Linked DNA regions of Macaca fascicularis. Each later gene encodes a partner of the first gene's protein in a complex. Links are inferred from orthologs where the notes say so. Each region holds a gene or a part of one and is shown in the gene's direction. Other genes may lie near its edges.

Region 1 (4,124 bases):
TCATACAGGAATAAAGTGAATTTTGGAAATGTTAATTACATCTTAAGAGAATTCTCTTAAATTTAGGGGCAATTGGTAATATTTTAGAGGATAGAAATTAAATGTTAATGGCCTTGATGCTCTACCAGATATTTTAAAAATAAATGGAAATAAATAGAAATAAGTACCAACTGTTACCCAGTTATGTCAAAATACTAAAAATATGTGTTGATGAATACCTGACCCTCCAAAGAAAAGACAAGCACAAAACAGCAAAATAGTAGAGGTGGAGTTAAAAAAAAAGTCAAAGTATTTAAAATTACTTGTACATGAGAAGCAGGAAACAATACTTCAATTATGTCTACTTTAACCAGATGCTCAGTCTATCAGACAATTCTGTCCAAAATGAACCTGTGCTTGCAGAAGAACACTTCCTTCTCTGCTTACATTTACATCTAAATCAAGCATATAAAAAGGAATCACCCTTGTTTCCTCAGGAGTATTACAGAACAGAAGGAAACCCAGAGGCACAATTCCCCTACAGGGAATTATATTAAACAAAATATAGACTTTGGGCCAGGCACGGTGGCTCACACCTATAATCCCAGTACTTTGGGAGGCCAAGACAGGCAAATCACCTCAGGTCAGGAGTTGGAGACCAGCCTGGCCAACATGGTGAAACCCCTTCTCTACTAAAAATACCAAACTTAGCTGGGGTAGTGGAAGGTGCCTGTAATCCCAGCTACTCAAGAGGCTGAGGCAGGAGAATCGCTTGAACCCTGGAGGTGCAGATTGCAGTGAGCCAATATTGTGCCACTACACTCAAGCCTGGGTGACAGCCTAGACTCCATTTCCAAAACAAACAAACAAACAAACAAAGAGAGGTTTAGAATTATATAGTGAGCTCCATGTCCTCCTCACTCCACTGATTTGGGTTCTTTAAAATCCATTGTATAGTAGCTACACATTCTTGTATTGGCACCAGATTGGCTAGACCCTAGGAAGCATCCGAGATGTTTCCAGAAGCAAAGACGCTTACTGCCAGGCGTCCCCCATCTCCCGGAATCACCCGGAAGTCTAGAAGCCATCCGGCCCCACAGCGATCCCTTAAAAGTGCTGGCTTAGCGGGGGACGAATCCGTGTCTTTCTTGTAACTTCCAAGCGCTAAATAGTTTGAAACCAACAGCTCTTCGAAAACACTATCATTTTCATCCTAGAAAAGCAAGTTCTCGCGAAAAGACGAGTTTCACGCTGGGCAGCGTAATTGCGCTATTGCGCCTGCGCGCGCCGGGGCTCCGCCCTTCCGGCCGGAGGGGCTGTCACTCACATCCACCTCCCGCCCCGCGTCGTGACGTAGCACTTCCGTTTTCTCTGGGCAAGCGGTCGAACGGAGGGCCGGCGAGGTGCCGGGTCTGGTTCTCCGAGCTGCGCCTCTCGGCAAGATTTCGCGTTGCCCATCCTGGGCTTTCATCAGTAATCGATAGTGGATCACTCTGCCAAGCGGCAGGAAGAATTAAGGAAACGACAAGGAGACGCTTGGCTGCCTCCCGCTTTGCTCCTTGCGGCCTCCTCTTCCCTTCGCTCCGGCCCGGTGAAACTGAACTTATAATCGTCACTGGATTGTAAGTACCCGAGGCGAAGAGAGCTCACTGAGCCCTGATGTTTTGAGTGTCTGTTCCGGGAGAGTTTGTAAATTGAGAGTATCTCTGCTGGCCTTTCTGGGCCGAAAACCGTTCCGCGGGAGCCGCCATTTGCTTTCCTGCTTCCTAGCTAGGTAGCTGTCTCCGCGTTGTCGGGCAGCGGCACCTAGAGGTTGGGACTTGGCATTGCATCTGATTTAATGAACTTAAGTCTGTGAATAAGCCTTTGTGTTAACGACTGGTATTTGGTCACAGCATATTTAGAGAAAAGACTTGGAGCTTAAATAAAAACGAAGGCAAAATAGACGCTAAGCTGCTGATCTACAGAGAACTTCTTGTAATTAAAATATTTCAATTCATAGCGAACTGGTGTTTTAAATTATTGCAGTAGCTGGAACTTTTTACGGTAACCATCATTTATTGGAGAAGTGAGTCACAAAGAAATAAAAATGAGTAAAAGCAAAGATGATGCTCCTCACGAACTGGAGAGCCAGTTTATCTTACGTCTGCCTCCAGAATATGCCTCTACTGTGAGAAGAGCAGTACAGTCTGGTCATGTCAACCTCAAGGACAGACTGACAATTGAGTTACATCCTGATGGGCGTCATGGAATCGTCAGAGTGGACCGTGTTCCATTGGCCTCAAAATTGGTAGACCTGCCCTGTGTTATGGAAAGCTTGAAAACCATTGATAAGAAAACCTTTTACAAGACAGCTGATATCTGTCAGATGCTTGTATCCACAGTTGATGGTGATCTCTATCCACCTGTGGAGGAGCCAGTTGCTAGCACTGATCCTAAAGCAAGCAAGAAAAAGGATAAGGACAAAGAGAAAAAGTTTATCTGGAACCACGGAATTACTCTGCCTCTGAAGAATGTCAGGAAGAGAAGGTTCCGGAAGACAGCAAAGAAGAAATATATTGAATCTCCAGATGTGGAAAAAGAAGTGAAACGATTGCTGAGTACAGATGCTGAAGCTGTTAGTACTCGGTGGGAAATAATTGCTGAAGATGAAACAAAGGAGGCAGAAAATCAAGGCCTGGATATCTCTTCTCCAGGAATGTCTGGTCACAGGCAGGGCCATGACTCATTAGAACATGATGAGCTTCGGGAGATATTCAATGACCTCAGCAGCAGCAGTGAGGATGAAGATGAGACCCAGCATCAAGATGAAGAAGATATAAACATCATTGACACTGAGGAAGATCTGGAGAGACAACTACAGGACAAGCTAAATGAATCAGATGAACAGCACCAGGAAAATGAGGGAACCAATCAGCTGGTTATGGGAATTCAGAAGCAGATTGACAACATGAAAGGCAAGCTCCAAGAGACCCAGGACAGGGCAAAACGACAAGAGGATCTCATCATGAAAGTGGAAAATCTGGCTCTCAAGAACAGATTTCAGGCTGTACTGGATGAGCTCAAACAAAAGGAAGACCGAGAAAAGGAGCAACTCAGCTCTTTGCAAGAAGAGCTAGAATCACTCCTAGAGAAGTAAAAAGAACTGATTCTTAATTTCAGTGTTCAGACTGATCAGCATTAGAAAATTCTTGGCTTTATTACTTGTACTGGATATTAACACCTTGCACTTCCTAGTCCCTCTAATGCTGTGTGTTCTGTTAAGTTCTTTCATTTGTTTATAGTTTTGTTTTTCAGCAAATTTACATTGTTTTGCTAGGTGTTCATCCTATAAGAAGCAGGATTGTATAGGCAGAAAAATGATAGTAGGAAAGTTGCAGGATTAGTGGAATGTATGGTTCAACCTTAATTATAGCTCCACTGCAGGACTTTGCTGTTTCTCCATTTTCTAGAAGCTGCTGTTGCTGCCTTATGATGACATGAGATCAATAAGAAGAACCTAGTCTAGAGACAGTGATGCTAGTTTGCATATGTTTTCCCATGCAATAGCTGTTTTCCCAGTTACTCAAAGCAGTTTCCCATATGTAGAGATGCAAATTTTATTAAGTTGTTTACAATACAATAAATAAAAGCATCTGTTTTTCACTTTGTAGTGTATCTTGTTCTTTCATGGTTGGTGGGAGTCAGGTCCCTTTTGAGGTGGTTTTGTGGTGGAGTTTAGTGACTAAGAAATTTGATCCAGTTCTGCAGGTAGAGGCAGTTTGGTTTATGAAAAAAAGCAACACAGCAGGGGTAAAGAAATTGGGAATTGTCATGTTTGCATCATATTAAGATTCCAGTTCTATCTGATCTACTTGAAAGCTGGGAAACATTAGATACAGAGCTTTCTTAAACTACCCTAATTTTTGTAGATGAAGGCCTTCGTGCCTTTTTTAAAAAGCTTACTAAATCTACCTGCACAAAATGTTGGAAACAAAGCAGTGGTTATCAAGTGCAGTCCAATGAATCATTCCATTGGTTTGGATTAAGATTTTATTTCTATTTTTCTTCAGTTGAGTTCTTATAATTAATAATCTGAGAACTGAGGTCATTTATCAATGTCATTTCATCAAAATTGCTCATAAAGTAAGTCGGTACCAAATTTC
Region 2 (3,970 bases), on another chromosome or scaffold:
CCGCGCCCAGCCGCTTTGTGTTTATTAACAAAGATAGGTTCAAGCCTCACATAACTACTTTTCACTCACCGAATGTTCAGCAGGACATTCAGAAATCGTGTGTATTGCGGGATTTTCTTTATGTAGCATCATCTGTTACACTGTAGGACACATATTTTATATCCCTAGCTCTGGCCTTCCAATGCCTGTGGTTTTCCCAACCATTGTTCCGACCAAAAGCCTTCCCCAATGGACACGGTGGCTCACACTTGTAATCCCAGCACTTTGGGAGGCCGAGGGGGGCAGATCGCTTGAGATCAAGAGTTCCAGACCAGCCTGGGTGATGTGGCGAAACCCCATATCTACTAAAAATACAAAAATTAGCCGAGCATAGGTGGTGTGTGCCTGTAATCCCAGCTACTTGGAGGCTGAGGTGGGAGGATGGCTTGAGCCCAGCAGGTCTAAGCTGCAGTGAACCCGGATTGTGCCACTTCACTCCAGCCTGGGGGACAGTGAGGCTGCGTCTCAAAAAAAAAAAAAAAAAACCAAAAATGAGGCCGGGCATGGTGGTGCACGCCTGTAATCCCAGCTACTCGGGAGGCTGAGGCAGAAGAATCGCTTGAACCCGATAGGCGGACGTTGCAGTGGGCCGGGATTTCGCCACCGCACACTCCAGCCTGGGCGACAGAGTGAGACTTGGTCTCAAAAAAAAAAAAAAAAAAAAAAAACACACACACACAAAAACAAACCTTCACAAAATTTTAAATGCTTAGTTTTGGGACACCATCTCTTGGAAATTTGTGGTGAAGCACAGTATCCCCAGTAATTAACATAGTGCTTAGAAACAGTGGAACCACAACTCTTTAAAATGATTTAAAAGCATTTATGTCAGATAAAGGACCGCTGGCTAGCCCTCCTACGATCCATAGCTTCGCAGTCCCCAAACAGGAAGGCGTGATTCAATGCGCAGTAGCAAATTTAGGGTGACAACGAGATACATCCCACGGAGCCCGTGATTTCCTTTTCTTTGTTAGTTTTCAATTCCTTCAGTGTTACAGGGAGGAGCTCCGGCCTCCTCCGCTAAAGACTGTCGCATTTCCGCCGCTAGGCCGGAAAGCACCACCGTCCTTCCGCAGGCCTCAGTCAGCTAGGCCCAGCTCCAGCCCCGCCCGTCACCGGAAGTGAGGCGACGGAAGTAGCGTAACCCGCTGAGAACCAGCCGGCGGGGCGCTGTGGGTTGGCGGGCTAGTGGGATGGCAGATGAGGAAGAAGACCCCACCGTGAGTGACCGTCTGTGTCCAGAACCTCTCTTTTCTTCACTCCTTCGGGCTCAGTAGCGGAGGCAGAGTTCAGGATCGGATCTGCTTGCCTTAGTCAATTCAGCCGACAGAATTCGGGGACTTCACTCCCTAAGGATTGATCATTTTAGAAAGTGGGGAAGGACATGAAGAAAGAGTAGGTTTTGTGACCCCTTTCCCCTTGATTTTGATCTTTATTTGCCAGACACTGAAACACTTACAGAATCATCAGACGTCAAAACTAACATCTATTAGCGCTCACTATGAACCAACAGTTCAATTGTTAACAAAACTGTACTTACTGTGAAGTAATGGGAAAAGAATGCATTGAAAGTCAGACAGCCTGGATTTCAAAATCTCCATTCTCTCTAAGCAAGTTATTTAACTTTGACAATCAGTTTTCTTGTTACAAAATAGGGTTACGGGCTTACTTAAGGAACGTTTTTAGCACCGTATATGCAAATGCTTAGTAAATATTAGTTTTGCTTAATTGAAAGTCTACAAAGGTAGACTTTGATTCAGTATCAACTGTTTAACAGTAGCAATAGGCCACCTTAGTTGTTTAAAAATAAAACCTATGGTCATTGTAACTCTTACACGTAGAAGCAGTAGGATTATTTGTTAGGAACATTGTAGAAGCCATTTTTGGATGAGTTGGAAATTGGACTCGATACCTAGGCTGCTTACGTGCTAAGGTTTTGTGTTTTTTTTTTTTTTTTTTTTTTTTTTTTCTGCTTCCTTTAGGCTTTCTGGCCTATCTGTTGAAAAGGAAAAAACATTGTTATTATTAAAATATCAAATGCAAGGCAATTATTTGACATTTCTATATATACGTTTTCTAGTTTGAGGAAGAAAATGAAGAAATTGGAGGAGGTGCAGAAGGTGGACAGGGTAAAAGAAAGAGGCTTTTTTCTAAAGAATGTAAGTAGTATTTGACAATGATTTTGTTATAGATGATGAAAACTTTTGGACATATCCTTTCCAAGTACATTTATTGCTTTGAATGTTTCCCTGTAGTGACAATATTCTCAGACTAGCCTATCAAATTCTGTTTAGCTTTTGAATCAGATAGTACCAATCCTAACCCCAGTTATATGTGTGTGTATGTGTGTCTGTGTATAAATTGCTTTTTAGGTGAGCAAATGTAGTTCGTGTTTTAATTTAGGGCAGAAGAACATACCTCCATTAGTTTTCCTCTTGCCTTTGCAGCAGTAGAAAGAGAGGCTTCTTTGACTGTAAGCCACAGATACTAATGGATCCTGCACCAGGTGTTGAGGGAGAGTAGCAAGTGAGTTGGGGCTTGGGCTTTGGACTAAGGCTATGAACAAAGTAAGAAGGTGGTGAACAGCTGGGTGTAGTGGCTCACGCCTGTAATCCGAGCACTTTGGGAGGCTGAGGCAGGTGGATCACTGGAGGTCAGGAGTTTGAGACCAGCCTGGCCAATGTGATGAAACCCCATCTCTACTAAAAATACAAAAATTAGCCAGACGTGCTCGCTTGAACTCAGGAGGGAGAAGTTGCAGTGAGCCAAGATTATGCCACTGCACTCCAGCCTGGGTAACACAGCAAGACTCTGTCTCAAAAAAAAAGAAGAAGGTGGTGAATAGTGTAAGACATTAGAGTGACATGGAGGCTAGATGCAGTGGCTCACGTCTGTAATCCCAGCACTTTGGGAGGTCAAGGCAAGCAGATCGCTTGAGCCCAGGAGGTCAAGACCAGTCTGGGCGACATAGTGAAACCCTCTCTCTACAAAAAATACAAAAATTAGTAGGGCATGGTGGCACGCCCCTGTAGTTCCAGCTACTCTGGAGGCTGAGGTGAGAGGATGGCTTGGGCCCAGGAGGTGGAGGTTGCAGTAAACCCAGATTGCGCCACTGCACTCCAGCCTTGGTGACGGAACCAGACCCTGTGTCCAAAATAAATAAATAAATAAGCAAAATAAATAATGACATGGAGATTATAATGTATTGATTCTGCATCCTACCCCCTCAGTAGATGCTTTTGACCCTTTTTGGCAACAAGAGGAAGGGAGAGCTGCTGCTACTACTGATGGTACAGGCCAAGCCCTGGAACACAGCATGAGAATGTGCTCTCCATCTCCAGTCCTGGGTCCTTTATGTAAAGTTATATCTAAGTATTGAGAGATGAGGCAACACAGATTTATGAATATGGTTTATTTAGGCGGGGTTATATGTGAGCAGTTCCCAAATGCCCTTGAAACTACAGGGTCAGTATATCTTTTTTTTTTTTTTGCAATTAACTGGGCATGGTGGCGTGTACCTATAGCCCCAGCTATTCAGGAGGCTGAGGTGGGAGGATCACTTGTGCCCAGGAGTTCAAGGTTGCAGTGAGCTGTGATCATGCCACTGTACTCTAGCCCCAGTGATAGAAGAGTGAGACCCTGTCTCGCCACCAGCCCCAGCTAATTTTTTGTATTTTTAGTAGAAACGGGTTTCCCCATGTCAGCCAGGGTGGTCTCAAACTCATGACCCAGATGATCTGCCTAACTCGGCCTCCCAAAGTGCTGGGATTACAGGCCTGAGCCACCATGACCAGCCATACCCAGCTAATTTTTGTATTTTCAGTAGAGACTAGTTACACCATGTTGGCCAGGCTGGTCTCAAACTCCTACCCTCAAGTGATCCTCCTGCCTCAGCCTCCCAAACTGCTGGGGTTACAGGCATGAGCCACCA

What was found. Proteins that work in one complex are often made in the same cells at the same time.
Region 2: TAF7 (region 1) and transcription initiation factor TFIID subunit 13 share a complex: the UniProt entries of both Homo sapiens proteins name them as parts of the TFIID basal transcription factor complex. The link is inferred for Macaca fascicularis from reciprocal best matches to the Homo sapiens genes TAF7 and TAF13.

Annotation. Positions count from the first base shown.
Region 1 is NC_088380.1:147,784,561-147,788,684, reverse strand, and holds TAF7 (transcription initiation factor TFIID subunit 7), read left to right. Parts: upstream 1-1,337; 5' UTR 1,338-2,068; coding exon 2,069-3,118; 3' UTR 3,119-3,624; downstream 3,625-4,124. UniProt on the Homo sapiens protein: The TFIID basal transcription factor complex plays a major role in the initiation of RNA polymerase II (Pol II)-dependent transcription.
Region 2 is NC_088375.1:125,372,609-125,376,578, forward strand, and holds the start of transcription initiation factor TFIID subunit 13, read left to right. Parts: upstream 1-1,170; 5' UTR 1,171-1,232; coding exon 1,233-1,259; exon of another isoform or gene 1,260-1,433; coding exon of another isoform or gene 1,434-1,434; intron 1,435-2,021; exon of another isoform or gene 2,022-2,119; coding exon 2,120-2,198; intron 2,199-3,970. UniProt on the Homo sapiens protein: The TFIID basal transcription factor complex plays a major role in the initiation of RNA polymerase II (Pol II)-dependent transcription.